Linked DNA regions of Drosophila melanogaster. The protein of the gene in region 2 purifies or fractionates together with the protein of the main gene of each other region. This does not show direct contact. Each region holds a gene or a part of one and is shown on either strand. Other genes may lie near its edges. The genes, in order: koko and Ykt6.

Evidence for each region.
Region 1: the proteins of Ykt6 (region 2) and koko purify together in Drosophila melanogaster (affinity purification with mass spectrometry, with the first as the bait; one large-scale study listed by BioGRID). This does not show direct contact.

Annotation. Positions count from the first base shown.
Region 1 is NT_033777.3:18,398,714-18,409,497, reverse strand, and holds koko (kokopelli), read right to left. Parts: upstream 6,473-10,784; 5' UTR 6,432-6,472; intron 6,276-6,431; exon of another isoform or gene 5,979-6,275; 5' UTR 5,959-5,978; coding exon 5,876-5,958; intron 5,810-5,875; coding exon 5,665-5,809; intron 5,605-5,664; coding exon 5,053-5,604; 3' UTR 4,772-5,052; downstream 1-4,771. Other genes in the region: CG31122 (uncharacterized protein), read left to right, coding at 62-166, 228-879, 1,058-1,223, 1,282-1,616; CG7685 (uncharacterized protein), read right to left, coding at 3,691-4,009, 4,073-4,278, 4,339-4,455; Wdr37 (WD repeat domain 37), read left to right, coding at 7,031-7,184, 7,305-7,866, 7,924-8,671; Vti1b (vesicle transport through interaction with t-SNAREs 1b), read right to left, coding at 9,278-9,487, 9,548-9,706.
Region 2 is NC_004354.4:7,914,561-7,925,437, forward strand, and holds Ykt6 (YKT6 v-SNARE), read left to right. Parts: upstream 1-5,848; 5' UTR 5,849-6,115; coding exon 6,116-6,240; intron 6,241-6,329; coding exon 6,330-6,804; 3' UTR 6,805-7,406; downstream 7,407-10,877. Other genes in the region: snz (snazarus), read left to right, coding at 1-338, 400-1,137, 1,207-1,386, 1,448-1,585, 1,651-2,334, 2,395-2,763; hdm (hold'em), read right to left, coding at 3,957-4,344, 4,448-4,604, 4,656-5,571.

The DNA.
Region 1 (10,784 bases), on a different chromosome or scaffold from region 2:
GTTAGTTTTTGCATATTTTAATAATAATTTATAAATAATATAAACGCATTTTCATTTGCAGCATGGAGTTCAAGACATTCAGTTGCTTTGACAATTTTGTTCGGGGCAACAACGCTGGAGTTCCGGATCACACGCCCATGAACCATGCCCTCCAGCATCTAGAAAAGTAAGTTCATAGTGTACAATTCAAGAATGCTCTTATTAATAACAATTGTTTATCCCCACAGACTGCTTCAGAATCTATCGCAGCGCCTGATCTCCATACCAGAGAACGAAATTCTGGATCAGGCCGCCCAGGCAGCGGCTGCTGCGGCGGCAGTGGCTGCTGCTGCTGCGGCCGCAGCTTTAACGCTATCCAACGCCACGGTCACCTCGGAGTCCAACTCACAATCGGCACCGGCCAACGACAGCAGCCAGGAGATGGACATTGATATATTGCAGGTGCAGGAGAATATCACAGTGGACGCGGATGGGGCAGTAATATTTCCGATAGTTGGCAACGAAGTGCCAGAGGCAGTGAACAATGTATCCGGGAATAATGGCAACATCGGTGGTGGCGGTAACGATGATAGTGTAAACAACCACCAAGAGCAAGTGAACAACCAGCAGCTCCAGCAGCAGCAGCAAACGGCGGCAGCCATCAAGATGACTTCTCCCACAACGGCGATAAATGCCACCAACAATGTGGAGCACTACAACAACGATTGTGGTACGAGGCAGGCTTCCGCTGCCTCTGCAACAACAGCCTCGGCAACGGGCACCTCCACATCAACGGCAAGCAGCGATAGCAATCCGCTGTGGTGGCGGGAGAACCTCAATCTGGACAAATCCAAGCTGGTGCTGATTGGCTTTAGCAAGGGCTGCGTCGTGCTCAATCAAGTGAGTCGCGTTTGGTTCGTTACCTAGTTGATCCACTCGCCAATACGCCAGCTTCAATCCTATGCAGAAGTGTCGATGGAGCGTGTAGAGTATAAATCTAAACGCTGAATCGGTATCTGAGGATTGTGGCCCATACCCAACTGACCATACTTATCTGCACTTTCTTTTTTGTTTATAGTTCATCTACGAGTTCCACTATCTTAAGACGCTCACGCCCGACGACAGCAGCATGTGCCGCCTTCTCTCCCGGATTTCAGACATGTACTGGCTGGATGGCGGCCATGGGGGCCAAAAGAACACTTGGATCACGTCCCGTAGCTTGCTGGAAACACTAACGCGGATGGGTAAGTGGAGAGAGAGTAAATGCCAAGTTGAGTCAACTAACGAGTGGGAGTCTTTAAGCAGGCATGAACATCCATGTCCACCTGACGCCCTACCAGGTGCAGGATGATCGCCGACCCTGGATTAGAAAGGAGGAGAAGTTGTTTACGGAGATGCTACGTAGGCTGAATGCGCCGATCACCCGGCACTTGCACTACGACAACCAGCCAGCGAATCTGATGACCCACTTCGAGGTGCTGCAGGCATTTTGCCAGCACGTCCACGCGCTCAACCAGCAGCAACAGCAAATGCAGCAGCAGCAGGGTGTCGGCATCAGTGAGCAGTCTTCGGCGGCGGTGGCCGCCACCAACAATGGGAGCAACAATCTATTGGAAGCCGGCGAGGAGGCAAAGTGACAGCTGCAACTGCATCCGCATCACCACAGGCGTCGCTTGCATGCGATGCGCAAGGGTACCGCCGCCCTCAAGCGTCAGCAGGTGGCGCAGCTGCGCCAGCACCACCAGCAGCTGCTGGCTGCCGCCCCGGAGCTCGCGCTGGCCTCCTCATCGCGCCTGGCTGCGGCCCTGATCTCGTCGGCGGTGGCTCTGAGCGCCTCGTCCGCGAGCCTTGTAAATAGTCATCACCACAGCCATATGCAACAACAGCAGACGCAGCAGCCGCCACAGGCGCGCCATCATCACCATCCGGCAACATCACACAGGCATCACCACCACCAACACCACTCACATCACCACTCGCACCACCATCATCATCATCATCAGTGTCGCTCGAAACGCAAACTGCAGAAATTGTATTATACGCTTTGCCGTTAGATCTGTAGCCTAACTATATCTATGTGTACTTGTACGAGAGAAAGTTTCTTAGAACCACCAGCAGCATCAGCACTTAGCTTAAGTGGAGTCACACCTACCACGTCCTATATATATTATATGTATGTCCAGTCCCTTCGTCCCTTCATTTTTTGTACATGTATTTATTTATTCCCCTTTTTGTTCGTATTTTGTATCTTTGATCATCGCATTTTTGTAATTCGTCCCAAACTGAAAGCAAAATCTCATCAGTGCAATAATATACATAATCCGAATATATATATATCTATATATTTATATATATGCGTATTTATATATATGCTGATTTTACAGACCTCTCTTATTTTATACAAACACTCCATGCTATTTATTTGTAATTGATGAAAAGATTTGTGATTTGCGCACATGATATAAAGTAAACATCGTAGAGCAAGCACTGTAATCGTAGCGTGTCTCAAGCAATTTATGTTTTAAGTACCCCAATGAATTTATACATCATCCGCACAGACGCATTAATCTAACCAGCCTAAAATCTAAATCACACACACCCACAAAGCCCTCTGATTAAGTATTACTTAGCGTACGTAAGCTAACTTTAAGTTGCAACTGGCAAAAAGCAAGCCACAACAACAAATGTACTTTACTTAGGTTGATCCCCAGTTTCCATCGCAAACTGGGGGCAAAGTATCAAATTTGTGAGACGAGAGCGTCGATAGCAATATAGCAATCAGCTCGTCCAGGCATAGACGACGTAGTTTTCTCTGATTGTGCTGGGCAAGTCAAAGAAGAAGTACTCAATGCAAATGCAAGTGAATAAAGTGAATTTTGCCAATTCAGATCCGAGAAGTAATTGTAAATGCGATGGCGCGCGTTCCTTAAACTAATTATGTATATCGATGTGGAGATCATTACCGCTTCCGCTTATCATCCAAAACAAGACAAGAAAGCCAGCCAAGAAAGCAAACCAAGAGAAAATCCAGTGAGACGTACTGTGCATATAAGGGAAAAATTAATTACACACAAAATTTCGTACCTTGTAGAATTTGCAGTTCAAAATTGCTTTAGAGTTTGTCGATGTACATTTTACGGATTAAACTGCACAAAACATTTTTAGGCAAGAAGAACCATATTAACTAAAATTACAGACGGTCGTAGATGTAAATTGAACATTATAAATGAAAACGCTGCGAATTCGAAACCAAAAATCGCGCAGAGAAAGTCGAGCAAAAAAAAGAAAACAAAACAAAAAAGGAATTCCCAATGTAAATTCTACTGATTTTTGTGAGTCTGGTAATAAAATGAATAAGCATATATGGATAAAATGGCAGCTTCTTTTTTTCACATGTCCACAAAGATCTAATCTTGCAGCTGCTCCTCTGGCACCAAATTAAACATAGTTTTAAACAAATTGTACACATTAAATCCATCAGATTCTTTGAATGTGAAAACTGGAACAGGCCACATTGTGTTTCTTGGAATTCGTTTCTTTTATTCAATCTACTTATTTTAAAATAAATTACAATTCTATTGTACTCGTACAAAAAATATCGCTTGTGATGCGCCGCCCGACATCTTCATCCTTGAGATTGGTGTCCTAGGTGCACAGGTGGAGGAGATGGAAGAGGAATGGGAGTGGGAACGGGGTCCCGTCGGCCTGCGACTACGCACAGTCGTTGGGACACTTGGTCGCCGTGCTCCACTCATCGCTGCCGTCGCAGCAGTCGCACACGTGGTCATTAATGCGGCTGCTGGCCACGTAGATATCCAGGCCCCGGCCCGTGATGTGACGCTTCTGGTAGCGACAGTAGAATCGCCCCTTGGCGCAGGCATTCGTGCTGGGCTCGTCGCTGCCGTCCTCCTCACAGTCGCAGTAGTTGTCGTTCAGGTGGTCGAACGGGATCTCTTTGGAGCCGTCCAGACACCGGAACTTGCCCTCGAAGTTGGGCTTGTAGGCGTCGTAGTCGAAGAGCCGTGTGCCCCTAAAGGATAAAGACGAGGATGAGGAATTTTCCCAAGCCAGCAACAATGCATCTACTACACACCTGACAATCTTGATGGGATCCTCGTGACCCGCAACAGGTGAGGTTTCCCCGCCTGCCGGAGCAACTGCATCGGCGCCTCCGCCATCGAAATCGTCCACGTCGCGCTGTTTGCTGCCCAGGGACTGCATCATCTGCTGGTGCTTGCGCTTGATCTGCTGCAGATTCCACGGAGCAGGCACTCCGGGCAGCTGGTTCAGCGAGAAGGCCTATCGTTATTGTTTACACATTAAACACCGTGCACAGGAAAATCCTTGCGAGACTCTCACCTGATACGCGATGAACGAAATTCCGACCAGGAAGATCAGCAGCAGGAACATCTTCGACTTCTGCTTGTAGAAGGGCTTGAAGTATATATTCTCTCGCTTCACCCACGTCTTACGCATATTGTCCTTGTTTTTTCGCTCTGGCCAAGTAATGTATAAAAAATATGTTTTGTTTACGAACTAGCATTGTTTTTGTACATGCCTGCGTTAGTCAACACTGCTGGGCTGGGGCTAAGGGTTGCCACCCATCCCGGAATTTAATCAAATACAGAGCGATTTATTTAAATTTGTTTGATAAAGTGTAATATTTTTTTGTAAAACTTTTAACAGCTTAAAAGTATAATGAATTTGATTGAAATAAAAGCGCCAAACACCTTTTTGCTTTTCCTCAGAATCTTAAAGCATTTCACAACTCCAAAGACCCATTAACAATATCATTTTTCACAGAACAATTGTTTATTGAATCAGTGTATAAATAAGTTGTAAACTTTAGATCTATCGTCTTCGCTGATAGGTAAATGTACTTTCGCCCGTCGATCACATAAGCATTTCATTACCGGTCAATTTATTTGTTTTGGCAAGGGCATGATGTAAATGCATTGGACATTTGAGCATATGTACGTCTAGTAGTATCTGAGATTGGTTTATGAGGTGGCGAGGGGAAAATAAATAAGTTCAGATGGCAGAAGGAATGGTTTTGGCAGTCTCTCTCAGCGATTAGGTGGCATTCAGGAAGCCCTCGTTCTTGTAGACCTCGATCACGTTCTCGATGATCTCCCACTGGTTCTCTCGGGTGAAGTCCTTGACCAAGGGCTTGTACCACATGGCGGATTCGTCGGACTCGTCGGTTAGCGGCACCTGGATGCCGTAGGTCTGGAGGGCCAGCGACAGGCACCCAATGGCCACATGGGTGGGCTTGTACTTGAGGATATTGGCGCTGTGGTGAAAGTCTTGCAGATACGAGGCGGCTGCCTTGGCAATGGGCACCGAGTTCCACACCTCAGTGCCCACCCAGTCTTGTAGGGTCTTCATGTAGTGGAGTAAGTACTTGTGGGCCAGATCTATGTTGAGATCGAAGCACAGGGTGCGCGTGATGAGCAGCTCAGCCTGGACAATGGCATCCCGCATCGACCAGTACTCATCGTTCAGGTCGACTGGATCATTGCCCCGGTTAAGGGTGCAGTATGCCACGTTGATGACATCGCGTATCTTGACACTTTCGTCTTCCTTAATTTTGCCAGCCAAGTACAGCGAGCCCGCGGCAATGAGCTGTGGATTCCAGAAAGTTTCTCATGAGATGGGGTCGTTTTGGGGGCATATATTACTCACGAACTCATCGTAGTCGCTGGCCTTGACCTCGCGGAAGAAGCGATGGAACACTATGGCCGCACAGGCCGCCGTCAGCGGTTTCATTTTCAACTTGGCAGCGCACTCAAAGATGTACATCGGCACCACGCCGGGTTTGTTCATTTTGCTGCGGCACAGATGGCACAGATATGTATATATTGGTGGTATCTTTAGATTGGATCATTCAACTTACCGATAGTCGATGGGCTTCATGGTCTGCGCCTTGTTCAACTCCACGTGCTGCTGCATCGACATGACATCCAAAACGTTTTTCATGCTGCTACTCCCAGGCCGAACTGAATGAAAGGATGAATGTGGGTGGATTTAAGCAATTTCGTTAACACTCGAGGAGCAAGATAAAAGCAATTGGACTGGTTGGGGAAATGGATGTGAACTGAGACCACCGAAAAGTCGAAAGGCGACAAACCGGTTTGATTGGGCTGCAGCGCTGTAATGGGAGATATGGTATCATATGCAGGGCGATCGGGAAAACTAACGGGCCCGAAGGTATGTCAGCTGTTCGATTGGAATCCAATACAACGGTGCACGGATTTGTTTGTCTTGTGGGAACTCCCAATGGTGTTTTCAAAAATAGTACCTACAACTACGGGCCAAACAGCTGTTCAAGTACACAGTGTTGATTAAGGATAATGCTTCCGTTTCAAAGGGTTATACAAGATAATCAACCCTAATAAATAATTACAGGAAAGCGCTGATCCATAGTTACATTTCTATTTGAATTTATTTACCTTCACGTGTCAGATTTGAAAGTCAGCAAAATTAACTAATTGTTTCTCAACACTAGTACTCAAACCAAAGTGCACTAAAAAAAAAACTTTGTTAATTGTACATTTTTATAGATGTGTTTTTGTTGAAAATTTTTCTAAACTAATTCATAACATATAATGAATTTTCAGTTAATTTTTACAGGATTTTTCGTTTTTATGATATAAATATATTTAATATGTAAACTGCAATTTCAAAATTATTTTATTTTAATTTGTTCAATTTGCTCTCAGTGTGCCACAGTCCGACTGTGCGATAATCGCACATCGATAACACTCGATACACACACCAGCTGTTCCGCCCGCTCCCCCCGCGCACAAAAACACCTGCAATAAGTATATTATCATTGCGAAAACCAAGTGCAACAGCAGTTCCCCAGTCAGCCAAAGAGGCAAATGCATCGCCAGCAGCGGAAGATGGATCAATAGAGCGCGAGTCTGCAACCCCTGAACACTAATTGGATTCCCCCGGGCGCTCTGCCCACCAGGAAACGGATATCGCCGACCAGCTCGGCTCAGAAAATCACTTGCGAGATACACAACAAAGAGGCGAAAAGAAAAGCATGAAGGCTAGCAAGACACGGGCTGTGCGCCTCACCAGTTTGACGGAGGACGTGGCCGCCGTACCGGAAGATGCACCATTCCGTGCACGCCTGCACGTCCTCTTCGCCCAGATCGAGCGGGAGTTCGAGCAGCTGTATCTGGAGAACCAGGCCCGTAAGTAGCTATATAATCCACAACTCCTTAAGGTCTCGTTCATAAACTTTAATATTTATTGCTTACATATGTCAAATTTTGTATAGTGCACGCATGATTAAAGCCTATTCTCTGTTATAGTGCAGGAGAAGCTAGACATAGCCACCACCACCAAGGAGTCATTGATTCCACCCGATGCCAGATCCGCAGCAGGAGGTTCAATGAGCACTCAGGCCTCATCCGCAGCTTTGGCCACGCCTGCAACCCAGACGGATGAGGTGGCGGGCAGCTTCCTGGCTGCAGCATCCAGTACACACAAGAGCTTGAAGGCCAAACTAAGCAGCGCTACCGGCGGCAGCAAAGCCAAGGCCAGCAACAAGATCAAGGCCCAAACCAGCCGCATTGTGTCCAGCTTTAAGGCGCCCACAGTGGTCAGCACGGTGGTCCGAGAATTCGGCGGCCACAAGGATGGCATCTGGCAGGTTGCCGCCAAGGCGGGACAACCCATCATTGGCACCGCCTCCGCCGATCATACGGCCTGCATCTGGGGCGTGGAGAGCGCCAGGTGCCTTTTGCAGTACCAAGGGCACGCCGGCTCCGTAAACTCCATCAAGTTCCATCAGCAGCGAGATCTTGTGCTCACCGGCAGCGGGGATGGTACTGCCCACATCTGGCAGGCGGCCGTCAACTGGGAAGTGCCCAAGTGAGTAACTTTGCAATATATTTTATAGTAGTTCAATAATCGTTGCATGATTTTCAGGAAGGGCCATTCTTCAGAGGAGGAACTGGACGACAGTGATGAGCAGGTGGAAGATCGCGATCGTGTGGACACCTTACGCACTCCGCTCTGCGAGTTCACAGGCCCCGGCGGTCATCTTTCAGTCGTGGTGGCCGCCGATTGGCTCTCTTCGATGGATCAAATCATCACGGGCAGCTGGGATCGGACTGCCATCCTGTGGGACGTGGAGACTGGCCTGCCACTGCAGCCGCTCACTGGGCACGACCACGAGCTCACCCACGTGTCGGCACATCCCACCCAGCGCCTGGTGGTCACCGCTTCCAGGGACACTACGTTCCGTCTATGGGACTTCCGAGAGGCAATCCCAGCGGTCTCCGTCTTCCAAGGGCACACGGAAACGGTTACGTCCAGTGTGTTCGCACGCGACGACAAGGTGGTGTCCGGATCAGATGATCGTACAATCAAGGTCTGGGAGCTGCGCAACATGCGATCCGCCTTGGCCACCATTCGAACGGATTCCTCGGTCAATCGTTTGGCGGTCTCCACTGGTGGAATTATCGCCATACCGCATGACAATCGACAGATCCGACTGTTCGATTTGAACGGGCAGAGAGTCGCCCGATTGCCACGGACCAGTCGGCAGGGCCACCGACGGATGGTGTCGTCTGTAGCGTGGGCGGAGGAGCCGCTGCTGGACTGCGATCTCTTCTCCTGCGGCTTCGATCGCCGCGTTTTCGGCTGGTCCATCGTTCTTCCGAAGGACAATTGAAGGCAACTGAAGCGGAGAGCTGCTGCACCAAAGGAATGAGGAGGCGCAGCTCTGCGAAATCCCAAACATCTCTCGAACAAAGAAGCATCCCCAAAGCGATGCCCACATACTTACATATATGTAACCGTTTATCATAGATCAAGTATTATGCAGACATTGTTCAGGATGTTCTACTATCTCGTTGTCGCCCACTGAATGTAATTAACGTTGCTTTTTGCCAAATAGTCGTGGCATAGCGTGCTGCACGAACTACATATTATCATTGTTATAGCATACGTATGTATATGCGTTGGGACTGGGCTAAACTCTTCGGAGTGCAGAGCTTCCGATGTCCAGACCCGATTTTATCTGTGTTTTACTACCATAATACATATTATAGACGTCTAAGGCATTAACGCTTTAGCCAACATGAATAAACATAATCAACCACCCGATTCATCGCTGGGTATATCCTAAAACTGACCTTTTTGAATTGGAAGTGCATTTTAGTGGAGTATATACATTTATAAGCTTATTAACTAGGACAAAGAATTCGTAACGATTAATAGGTATATATAGTCCATCGCCTGTTTGGTGGTTACGACTTTGGAATAGAATGGCATTGGCTCACAGGTGAGCGAACTTCAGCACCAGCAAGCCGACGAGTATGCCCACCTCCAGAATGATAATCAGGATTAGGATGATCTTGTTGTAGAGCACCTCCCTGCTCAACTTCCGAATGATGACCCTCGATTTGGACAGATCCTGATCGGCGTCCTCCAGGCGGCGCGTGGTGCGTAGCAGCGACTCCCTCTGCTCGCCCAGTTCGCCGAGTACCTGTTGATGCGTAAGCGAGCATTAGTTAGCCCTGTTAATGGCTACTATCTGGGTAATTACCTCCGCCCCCATGTTCTCCGTTTCGATGGCAATCTGGTTGGATCGCTGGATACTGTCCGTCGTCCGCTGTAGCACGTCGTAGGTGCTGGCCGCGAGCTGCGCCTGCCTGCGCTCCTGGTCGCTGCCGCTGGGCAGCTGGCTATAGCCGGCGTAGGACATAATTTGGTAACAGCTTTTAATAAATTAAATGCGATGCAGTGGGAATATCAAAACAAAACAAAGGCAGAGTGTGGCCGTGGTGAGCGGTGCAGTGAAAACGCTATTTGGTAAGGTACTAACGCGTTGTGCGTGGAGCCACCTGTTAACACTTTATGCACTTTACAGCACTTAAAACAGTTGAAATTTAAAATGAAACTGTTACCAAATTAGCTTAATATTATTTTATATTCTAAATTCTAATTAAAAGTTTAAATTGTAAGAAGTGTTAGTTCAATTGGTTTTTTTTTGAGATTGGCTTCCTCACTATCAACAAGCACATCTAGTTACTGCAAAAATATCACATATTAATGGTGATTAATTGGGTGATCCTAAGAGTGATTAGGTTTTTGGAAACTGACCATTTTTTTGGTAGACACATGTAGCACTCGAGGATTTTGACTTTAGTACGGGTATTTGTCGATTTCTGATTTGCGATAACGGTCACCGATCATACATAGTTGGCATGCCCGCGCCGAGAGAGCCGCCTGAATTCACAGGGTGTGTGTGCTGAGTAACAGAGAGTGCGAGGCATTTCGAGGCGATCGCGAGATTTTCGAACCGAAGTCGCGGCAGCGAGTGCCAAATTTAAACGCAGTCGATCGCTGGCGGTGAGCAGACGTGTGCTGCGCTCCATTCAGATTCAGATTCGAATAAAGATACTCTCGCTCGGCAACAAACAAGTTCTAAATTTATCGCTCGCACTCGCGGGGAATCGAATCTGGTGTGTCTTTGACATAAAAAGCGTTTTCGGAGCTGTGAAGGTAAGCGAAAAACTCGAAAAAACTCGAAGCAACTGGAAAAACCCGGCGGGTTCGAGGTGTAAAAGCTGTGCCACGGGTTATCCACCCGTATATATCCCATATCCCCTGTAAACTAGCCATCCAAAGCACGTGCTTTGGCAGCAGGGAGTATGTGCAATTAAGCCCAATTTGAATGCACTTTGGCACGTGATGCTGGCTGCTGACAGCTACTGGTCGGAAAAGTGAGCTTACTGGGGGCTGCGGGGCACACCTGTCATGGGACCCATTGTGCAAACACC
Region 2 (10,877 bases):
AAACTCGCTTGGCAGCGGCGGCCATGAGCAAGAGAAGCTACGAGTATGCAGCCAGCTTCGAGGATTTCCTCAAAATCATCAACAACTCGGGCAACCTCGAGGAGCTCTCGCTCATCCGCAAGAGCATAGTAAACGATCTGATGCATGCTACTACCATGCAGAATCTACAGCGTGCCAAAGGCCTCGATCCGGATCACGAGGACCACTCGCTCTCCAAGTCGGAGCTCACAGCCGCCGTCCGACTGAAGCGCTACGTACGCCAACTCACAATGGCCAAGGGCGAGTGCGAGAAGAATCTGGCCAAGTTCGGCTGGAATGGCAATTACTCGAGTGATATTGTAATTAAACTTTAGCATTCCCCATATCCACAACACTGATAAACTCAATTATTATTTGCAGGACCTAACACTGGTCGAGATCCTAAACACTGCGGTTGGCCGGCGCTACTTCACCCTGTTCCTGGAGCCGCTGAAGGCTAGCGCTCTGATTGGTTTCTACCTGGCCGTGGAGGAGATCAAGCACGCGCACAAGTCGGCCAGCCATCAGCTGGGCACGGAGATCTTTTACACCTACATCAGAGTGCCCAAGTCAGAGATCCAGATTGACAAGCACGAACGCAAACTGATCGAGACGTTCCTGCTGGGAGATGCCGAGCCTGACATCTTCTATGACATCCAGCGCAATGTACTACGCACGCTGGAGGAAAAGTACTATCCGCCATTTGTGCTCAGCGATCAATATCGTCAGTTGAAGGAGGCATTGGACTCCAATGAGATTGCAGATCCCACGCTGCTAATGTGTCACACCATTGGCGATGTACAGGAGCCGCTGGCGGATGAGCAACCGGGCGCGGCGGATGGACTAAATGGCGGAGCTGGTGGTGCCATCGATGTGGCCGCCCACACATCCTATGCACGACGAAAATTGGAACAAATACAGGAACGGATTGATAAAAAGAATCAGGCGCTGGACGCCCTCAAATATTCCGTGAAGCCGGAGTCCAAGGTGCTGACCATTCTCGAAAAGGAGATGGAGTGGCTGAAGAGCGAGAAGCGACAGACAGAGGCGCATTTGCGTCGCACGGACGCCTGGACAGAGCATCTGGGCAAGTGGAAGGCTACCATCCAAAGTGTAGAGGTCAGTGCTCCATCCCTGAGTGATTTTATCAGCCATCTTCAATTTTTTTTTTTTTTTTGCATCTTTTAGGTCTCCGATGAGAAAGAGTCCTTGCAGTTTATGATCTTGGTTCATGTGGACGAGGATATTAATGCCCCAGTACAACCGACTTCATCCAAAAACGGTGACAGCGGCCATGCCAATCTACGTAAGCGACCGTCGGGCATTTCCAGTGGTTGGGTAGTAATGCGCTCCCTTAATCAAGTCCATGTGTGTATTCCCTTTAAGATTCTATAGATCACTCTCACTAACATTTTGGTTATTTGTGAAGGAACTACAACGGAAGCTGAGACACGTGAGCTCTAACCTGAAGGCCATCGACCTGCCTACGAACTTTAAGTTCTTTTTTCTGAAAACAGATCGTCATGGTCAGGAAAAGGCCAAGTCACAGATTCAGAAGTTCTTGAATGTAAGTTTAATTTTTTCTTTTACACCATAGATAAGTTTGTGATTCCATACTTTTTGGCCACTTAGTTTATCCTGGAGGACGATCATTTGAATGGCAGCGAGGCCATCTACACGTTTCTTAGCCCAAGTTCCGACCACCTGAAACAATCGCTGCCCTCGCCAAAGAAGTCCAAATTCTCGCTATCTACGCTATTCCGCAGCGATGCTGGCAAAGCTCACGAGGCCAGCAAGGCAACCGATCCGTTTTGGGGTCTGCAGCGCGATGACGAGGATATATCTACCTATTTAGACGGCGAGTCCGGCGGTGAGGCTAAAATGCTAGCAGCGGATCTGGATAGCAAGGATTCGATAGCAGAACCGATGTACGCTCTAATGGGCGAAATCTTTGACATGGGCGGAGTTTTCAAGTGGTTGCGTAAGAGTCTCATCTCGTTTGTGCAGATCACATACGGCCGTACGATCAATCGACAGATCCGCGAATCGGTGGCCTATCTCTTTGAGGAGTCTATGCTGCACAACTACTTTTCGGCCATCCTCAAGTCATTTTGGCCAGGCGGAGTTCTTGCCTCCGCCTATCCGACGCGATCGGAGGATATGCGCGAAATGACCACCACGGCGGCCAAGGCCCTGCTCACCGATCACATACCGGAGGTACTGTGCAACCTGGTCGGTGCACAGGCTGCCAAACGGGGTGTCCTTAAGGTTTTCGATGCCCTGCAGAATCCCGCCTACAACAAGCAGCTATTCTACGTGAGTAGTGGTTTCAGTGGTCATATAGCCAAATATACAATTGGTATCTCTAATCTTCAGGAGCTGCTGGAGATACTTATGATTGAGTTCTTTCCTGAAATCCGACAATTGCGCGTCAGCAACTCCAATGGAACCAAGTTAAATACGGCTACTGCTGGAGCGGCAGCTGCATCCGCCGCTGCGGCACTGGTGGCTGCCACGGCATCAGCTTCGCTGCCCTCGCTTAATCATAGTGGTGGGGGTCACAGTGCATCCACGGGGGGTCACCAAAACCATCAGGGATCCTCGTCGGCCAGCGGATCCTCAGCTGGCGCGAGTGGCGCCACCGGTGGTGGTGCCGCCTCGCACCACCAATCGCATTACCACCACGGATCCCACCACCACCAGCAGCAGCAGCACCACCATTCGCAAGCGGGCAGTTCGAAGTGAAGTGAACTTAAGAAGAACCACTTCGTTTTAGATTTTACTTTAACCTAAACCCTTTTTTTTATTTATGTTATGTTTTGTTTGATTTTATGTTCAATGTTTAATGCTCTCCCTCTTTCTAACCGGTGGATATTGTTGATTTAGCCGAGGAAAGGGATTACAAAGAATAGTTATGTAGAACACAACACAACTCAGTAGTACCAGTATCATTCCCTGTACAAATGCAGACTTACAATCCATATGAATTCAGTTCTTGTTGATTCGTTCGTCCATCACTTCCTGTAGCCAGATTTGTTTGTTATGTGTATATGTCTGTACATAGGTCAGTATTAAGCGTTGTACCAAATCGTTGTTTATATACTCGTATAGTAAATTGTGACACTCAGTTTGGATTGATTTTAATTATAGTTTAGTAGCAGATATTGAGCCCAAAGTTGCGTCTGCAGCTGGCGTTGAGTCGGTGCTTGTGATTCCCATGCCGCGCCAGCTGTAGATCCATCCTCCCCCCAAAAATATTATAGAAACACAACAGGTGAGATTAGTTTGAGGCAAGCTAATGGGCGTCCAGAACAGTGCGTTCCATGGCCATAAAGCAACTTCCGTATTGACACACATTGTATTCTTTTTCGAATTTGTATTAAAATGATTCAATTGTTGCACATCGATAACCATCAATTAAAAATTGTATTTGAAATTTCCTAATTGACCAAAATTGGTAATGGTATCAAATAATCTTAAAGACTAAGCGTTGATTGAGGCTGTCTTAAAAAACAGAACGTTTGATAACACAATAAAACAGTCGCAAGTCAGGACTTTAAAGAAGCATTAATCCTTAAGCATTTGTGGTTATCCAAATGCATTTTGATACCATGTTAAAACACACAACTCGAAATTACAACATTTAGAATTGACCCAAAATCAGTTTTGTGGACCTGAAACGCCCCGTAGACACCCACCCACCACCACCACGACCCAAAGACACCGGCACCTTCTGTAACACTAGGCAAAATGACACTTAGATGATTCATCCCCAATGAGCCAAACGTATCCCACTTAGGACCCACATTAAGAGTTTCGAGGCGCTTTCAATCTATTTATGTATTGCAGTTGTACACTTTTATGTGAAAATGCGAAATAAAGATCGCTATTTATGTAGATGGTTCACCAGTATTTTGATGGGACCACCCCACATACACTTAGAAAACGACCATATTTGCGACAAGCTTTTCCAGGGGAATGGCTTGCATGTCGACGACCACAATGACGAGATGATTGCGCACTCCCACCGGCTTTTTGATCATCAATCTTACCTCGAAGTATTTCAGCAGAAAGCGCCACTTTAGCTCGCTTTTCTCGCGCTCCGCCAGTCGCTCGAAGTCTTCAGCCCGAAGTCCCAGGATACGTTCTGCCGGATGTCCAGCTAACCGGGCTTCGACGAGAGTGCCGGTCTGGTCGGACAAATGAATGTTGATATTGAAGTAGCTAATGGATCGTGGTTCATCATTGTCCAATGAAAAATACTGCTGGCAGGCGTCCGAGGCGCAATCTTGCAGGTTCCGTGGTATATGTTGTTGACAGGCAATGCTGTAAAATAAAAGGGCTTTTAAGAATATGTCTTGTAAACTATGTAACGGATAGTGGGAAGCGTTTCGGCGGTTAGGAAGGGATGGGGATGTACAACACCCACCACTTCCTGTTGACGTGGGAGGTCAATCCATCCAAGTCGAACTTGGTGACCATCCCATACAGCACTGCAGTAAACTGATGTATGGACGGATCCTGCAGTTCGCCCTCGGCGCGTGAATATATCTGTCTTACCGTCATCTGCGCCTGAATGCTGGCAACTGAAAGAGTTATAGTAAATAATAATACTGCATTAATTATCCTTTACTCACCTGCAGGCATGTTGTCCAGCTCTGCCTGGTCACAGCCACTAAAAGTTGTTAGAGGCACAGTGGCGGCGAAAGCTAGCAAGAGACGGCAATCATCTCCAGCCGCCTGAGGATTTTCGCAAATAAGTGTGCAATTGGAATGGGAGAGGACGAGAGAACGATGAAAGTTCGAGTAGGAAACACGCACGTCGATCAAATGAAGGACAGTGCGACGTGGCTGCCATTGCTGGGCACGTTGTATCCAGTCGGGTTGCCAAACGGAGAGCAGCATACCTTCCGGATAGCTGGCATCGATCACGATTACTTCCAAGCACTGTAGCAGCTCCTGGACCTCACTTAGTGGCCCCTGCAGCTTTCGCTTTATCTGACGCACTGGACGCACTGCAGCCACTACTACCAGTAGATTCACATTGGTGGTGATTATCTTATCGGGAAATCCCAAGCCGGAACGCACATCCGCCAGCTTAAGGACCGCACCAAGTGGCCTTATGGGCTGATGGAGTAACTGCTGGAGAATTGTTATTTGGCCAAAGTCGTCATTGTCGTGGCGCACCACATAGCCGGATCCCTCGTTGACCACCAGGGCGCAGGAGACCGTCGCTTGGGGCTGATAACGCTGTTCTCCCGGAGCAGCAAACGGTATGGACATCACTTTAGCGCCCACAATGTCTACCACATGGCCGATCTGCAGCATGGCCGCGTACTCATCCACACAGTCCCGCTGGCCCCAGCACTTGCAATTGGTCAGGTGATTGGGGGAATCTCGGATGGTCAAGCTGAGAACCCCTCGTTCGGTGCCACTCATCTTGTCATAGAAGATGTTCGGCGAGGATTTGGAGACAATCAGGGCAACGGTGGAGAAACGGGTCATTGTGGGACGCATCTCTGCCAACCGCTGGAACTTAATACGCCTTGCCATTGAAATTATTTAAGAAATCGCGACCAGTCAGATTGCAGTGCTTAAGAAAACCGTTACATTGCCGTTACCGCCGATTAGTAGTTATCGATGTTTGTAGTGATGGTACACCACAAATGGCCGTAGATTCAGTTAGTAACAGAAAGTATTGCTAACAACTTAGTTTGATAAAAACCACAATTAAAACATTTACAGAAAGTTGCGCTTATTAATTGTAACCATTGGAATCGATAATAATCGGATGGCATCCGAATACCAGACGTACCATCCCTAATAAGCTGACACACACTACGCATATGTGCACCCGCGCACACACACACGCACACACAGAGGGGAACGGCACAGATTTACTGCGTTAAACAAACTCACTTGTCGCACTTTTCCACGAATGCCAGTGCGCTGAAAGTGAAACCCATCCGCCGGAGCATAGTAGGATTAGCCAGGACAACCGTTCAGCTCAGTGCCCCAGAAGCATTTAATTGGAGGAGCAACAGTCGAGCAACCCGCGACCCGCAGACCCAGTCTTGGCAGCCCACAGCCACTCAAAATGGTCAAACTATTCGCGTTGAGCATCTTTCACAAGGGCGCCAGCGAGGCGCGTCTCCTGAAGACCGCCTCGGACCTGCAGTCCTTCTCCTTTTTCCAACGTGGCACCGTCAACGAGTTCATGACGTGAGTATGCATGTGGATGCCAAAGAACGGCGCAGGCTCAAAGAGTCATCAATGACGAACACCCCCCTAAACAACTCCTCCTCTTGCAGTTTCGCTTCGAAGACGATTGTGGAGCGCACACAGCCGGCCCTGCGGCAATCGGTGAAACAGGATGCCTACATGTGTCATGTCTATGTGCGGGCGGACAATCTGGCCGGTGTACTGATCGCCGATCATGAGTATCCGCATCGCGTGGCGCACACGCTTATCACAAAGATTCTGGATGACTTTACGGCCAAGGTGTCGGCCGATCAGTGGCCCAATGGCACGGAGGCCACTATCTCATTTGACTTGCTGCCAGCGTTTCTAGCACGCTATCAAAATCCCGTCGAAGCAGATCCGCTGACGAAAATGCAAAACGACCTGGACGAAACGAAGATCATACTGAAGAATACCATCGAGGCGGTGCTGGAGCGGGGCGAGAAGCTGGACGACATGGTCAGCAAGTCGGAGAAATTGTCGCTGCAGAGCAAGGCGTTCTACAAGACGGCGAAAAAGACTAACTCCTGCTGCAGCTTCACCTAGACGACAGCTGCACCTCTCATCACCCCCCACCACACGCTAATCCTCTCAAGCAACAACCACAACAGGAAACACCAGAAAATGCAAATCAAAGACAACACAAAGGATAATGGATAACACGATAACACCAACAAACTACAACCAAACAAACTCCAAGGGAGCGGTGCGACTTGGGCTTTGATGATTGCTTTTTATAAATGAATTAGTTAATTTTATATACTATATATATATATTATATTATATACTGTATGAATAGGATGGCCAGTTGCCAGTTACGATAGTCCGCTAACCCAATGTCTACCTGTCTGTATATGTCTACGCTTTGGATATCTAAATGTTAATTACTACCAATACAGATTACGATCTAAACCCATGTGCTTAACATAATCTTCTCTTCACTTATGTGTTGGCACGGCGGTCCAAAATTGGCCCTTTGCTAGCTATTGATGTTGTGGGCCTTCTTATCGCCTCCACGGCGGATCTATGTATACCAATCGGATCGGAAGGCTGCACCTATGTATACACATGCAGTCGCACTTCCGATCCGGGCAACTGGCGGTCGGAATGTGTGGGCGTTTCAATAAAGAAGTATTATGGGAAATGTGAACCAAGCTCGTTTTCATTGCTCACATATACAAACCTTATCTTTGTCAATTTTGGCAAAATGTACAAACTATTTGTACGAGCTCTGTACATAGCACATGAACTTATTTTTATTTATGTAATACGTACCACTTTATCTTAAGTGCAAATTCCATTCCTCCCAAAAAAGCAAAATCAATTTAAAAGTGATTTTCTGTTGGCGTTTATTTATTATATAGAAGACACCTATTTCGCTTCTTGTAAAGATTTCCGTTACATTTTTCATATTTATGCGTTTTCCTTACGTTTTCGTGTTTAACCTTTTGGATTTTGGTTATGTTTAATGGGTTCGGTTTGTATAGCCTAGTATAAGATAGGTAAATCGATTACAATTTAGTTTTCGCCCCCTCTCCATCGCAATTTTCTTGTGTGTTTGCGCGGGGAGAAAGGGGAGGCGGTGCATTATAAATATATGCATTATACTGCATACCTATATCGTTTCGTTATAATTAATATAATATTGTGTGTGCTAACTTAGCTTAAGCTGCAAACATTGATTCAAACGCGTTTGCTTGGCTTCTCGTTTTTTATTGATTTGCATCAACATTGTATGCATTTTTTTTTTGTGTTAGTGATCTATAGTAATATTTAGAATTTATTCAAATGCTTTCAATATATGCAAGTGTAAATATTAGTCGATGCAATGTTCTAAATGCACGCTCCTTCGAAATGGCTAAGAATTTGCATTTGTGTTTCCTGGTATGTGTATTTTTTCTTCTCAATTTTTTCGCTAAAAATTAGCATTGGTCAACACAACAAATGAAAATCAAGAAAAGTTCTCCCTTCTTTTCAAATCAGTAAAAAATACGTGTGTATGTGCGGCTGGATGAGTTTTGTATTCATTTAAAAACTAGTTTGGATAAATTGTTGGCTTGCTTGCTTTTGATTGAATTTATATTATTTAGGACTTAGTGGGGGATCCCCGTTTCATCGAATTCCAATCGAAATACGTACAAGTAAGGTTCTAACGTGTTTCGTTTACGCAGCTGTTATCACAATGGGTTTTGGTTTCAACTTGCATTATTTTTATTATTTTAAAGTTAGTTCCGTTTGCCGGTGGCAACTTTAGCTTACATGCAGCAGCTAAATGTTATTTGCCCCACGATTCTAGTGTTTAATGGTTTCCATATTTTGTTTTCAGAACCCTCAAAAGCCGCTCCTAACTTTGGCGCTTAAAAGTATGCTTGTTTTGCAGGTCTTGCGTGCATGTACACATGTACATGTAATGTGTTCGCTTGTGTTTGTATCATCTATAAGAAACTTGTGTGTCTGTGTGGGTGGGTGTTGGCGTGTACAGATGTGTCTTTGTTTAATTGTTTGTCGTGTGAGTGTGTGTGTTTGTTTGTGTGTGTCCGAGTGCGTGGGTGTGTGCGGGTGTTTTTGCTGCATTTTTGGCACTTGTGCGTATCGCACTGTAACGGTAAATGCATTCACTTTATCGACTTTATCGACATTGATACATGTATATACATACATATTTTGGTTAACCAATGATAAAGCTTAAGACAAAACAAATTACAAAGTAAAACAAACGCAAAAACGTAAACTACATCATAAACGCGTATCTGTGTGTGTGTGTAAACGATTTTTAGTTCTCTAAGTAAACGAAACAGAAAATAAGTATTAAACAACTATACAAACTATCGAAATAACGGCACTTCGTTTCACTTTCTCCGTTATTCTCTTGTTCTTGCTTCAAACAATTGAATTCATTTTGTTTTTGGCTTTAGTCTTTCGTCTTTATTTTTGGTTGCATTTTTTCAAAAGTTGCAATTCTATACTTTCAAAAATATATGTATATGCGAATTTCTATCGTTTTAAATCTATCGTTTTAAGAAGAGACTGCGAGCGAGAAATATATCGTATATGGGGGCGGGACGGGGGGCTGAGAGAGATAGGGATGAAGACTGAGATAGAGCGATCGATAAGGACTTAAACGAAGGACTTGCCTCAAAAGTGCGAAGGGAACAACAAATTCTCCGCTTTCCTCCCTCAGTTTTTGGGGGCTTTCGGTTTCAGTTACTCTTAAATTTTATCAGTTTCAACTTCTTTTGCTCTTTTTTTTCTCGTTTTTTCCTTTTTGTTTTCATTTGATTTTGTGTGTTTCAATGTTGTTTTTTTGCTTTTTTTTTTTTAGTTTGTTGTTTGGTTTGTTTGTTTTTCGCAGTGTGTACACAACAACTTATAGATAAATACAATACAAATATCGCGTTCTATAGTTTTATTTCTTCAAAAAAAGAATGTATGCCTCAAGTCATCCATAATACATTATATTTTAGCCATCAGACATTGTCTATGAGCGACAACGACAACGACAATAATACAAATACATAACATATATTCATATTCCTCTTCTGATTCAGATACTGATTTCGATTCAGATTCAGCTTCAGTTTCAGCTGCCTCTGCTTCAGTTTCAGTGTTTTTGGCCTGGCCTTTTTGGGGGCACTGCGATTACTTCATTTAAATTGGTTATTAATTAGTATTTTTGTATTTTCGTTTGTTTATATAAGTCTATCACATCATCACAATTCGGTTGCATCAAAATCATAATTACGAAGTATGCAATTATAAAAATAAATACGTTAATTCACTGGTAACTTTGTGTATACCCCTTGAGTAGATAAAAAAAAAAACATTTTTTAGTTGTAGTTTTCGAATCCCGTCTCCAATGATTTTCAAAATGTATGAGAAATCTACCAATATGAAATGAAATAAAAGCGAGCTTCTCTATGAATTATAGGTCTATATAGAAGAATTCGAGTCTTCCGTTCGTTTGCTTTAAAAAGAGATCCTTGTGTTGACGATATACCCTACATATATAAATATTTCCGTTTGTTTTCCCCGATTTTTATTTATTTGCTAAAAAGAAACCGTATACGTAGAGAACTTATACAAAAAAAATTAACAAAAATGTTTCTTTCACACCCCCCGATCGGCTAACAAATATATTTCTAATATAATCTACATGACTTTTCATATATTTTCCTTGTGTTCTTGTTCTCATACAATTCCACTGTAGAATATTCCCTTGTGTCCGTTACGTTTTCCCAAAATTCTTCGGATTTTTGTACTGCTTTCCCGTGGCGAGGATAACGCACTGCTTGCAACAACATGGACAACTGCTTGAACAGACGATATATGGATATATTACTGCTAACTATATGACTGGAGCTGCCAATTAATGTTACTACTACTAATTTACTCGTCCTGAACTCTGGCCAAAAGTATTCGGAAGAGAGAGAAATTAATAATGCAAATCAAAATGATTTTCAAATCAATTAATAAGATATGGGGAAATAAAAAAAGAGCTTTTGGAATAGTCAGAAGTATGCATTATGTTTGCTGTATTATTATTATCATTATTTTCGTGTGGCATTGCTTGGCATTATTTGATCTTCTAACCTTGTTTTGTGTTCCTCCTTCTTTTCCTC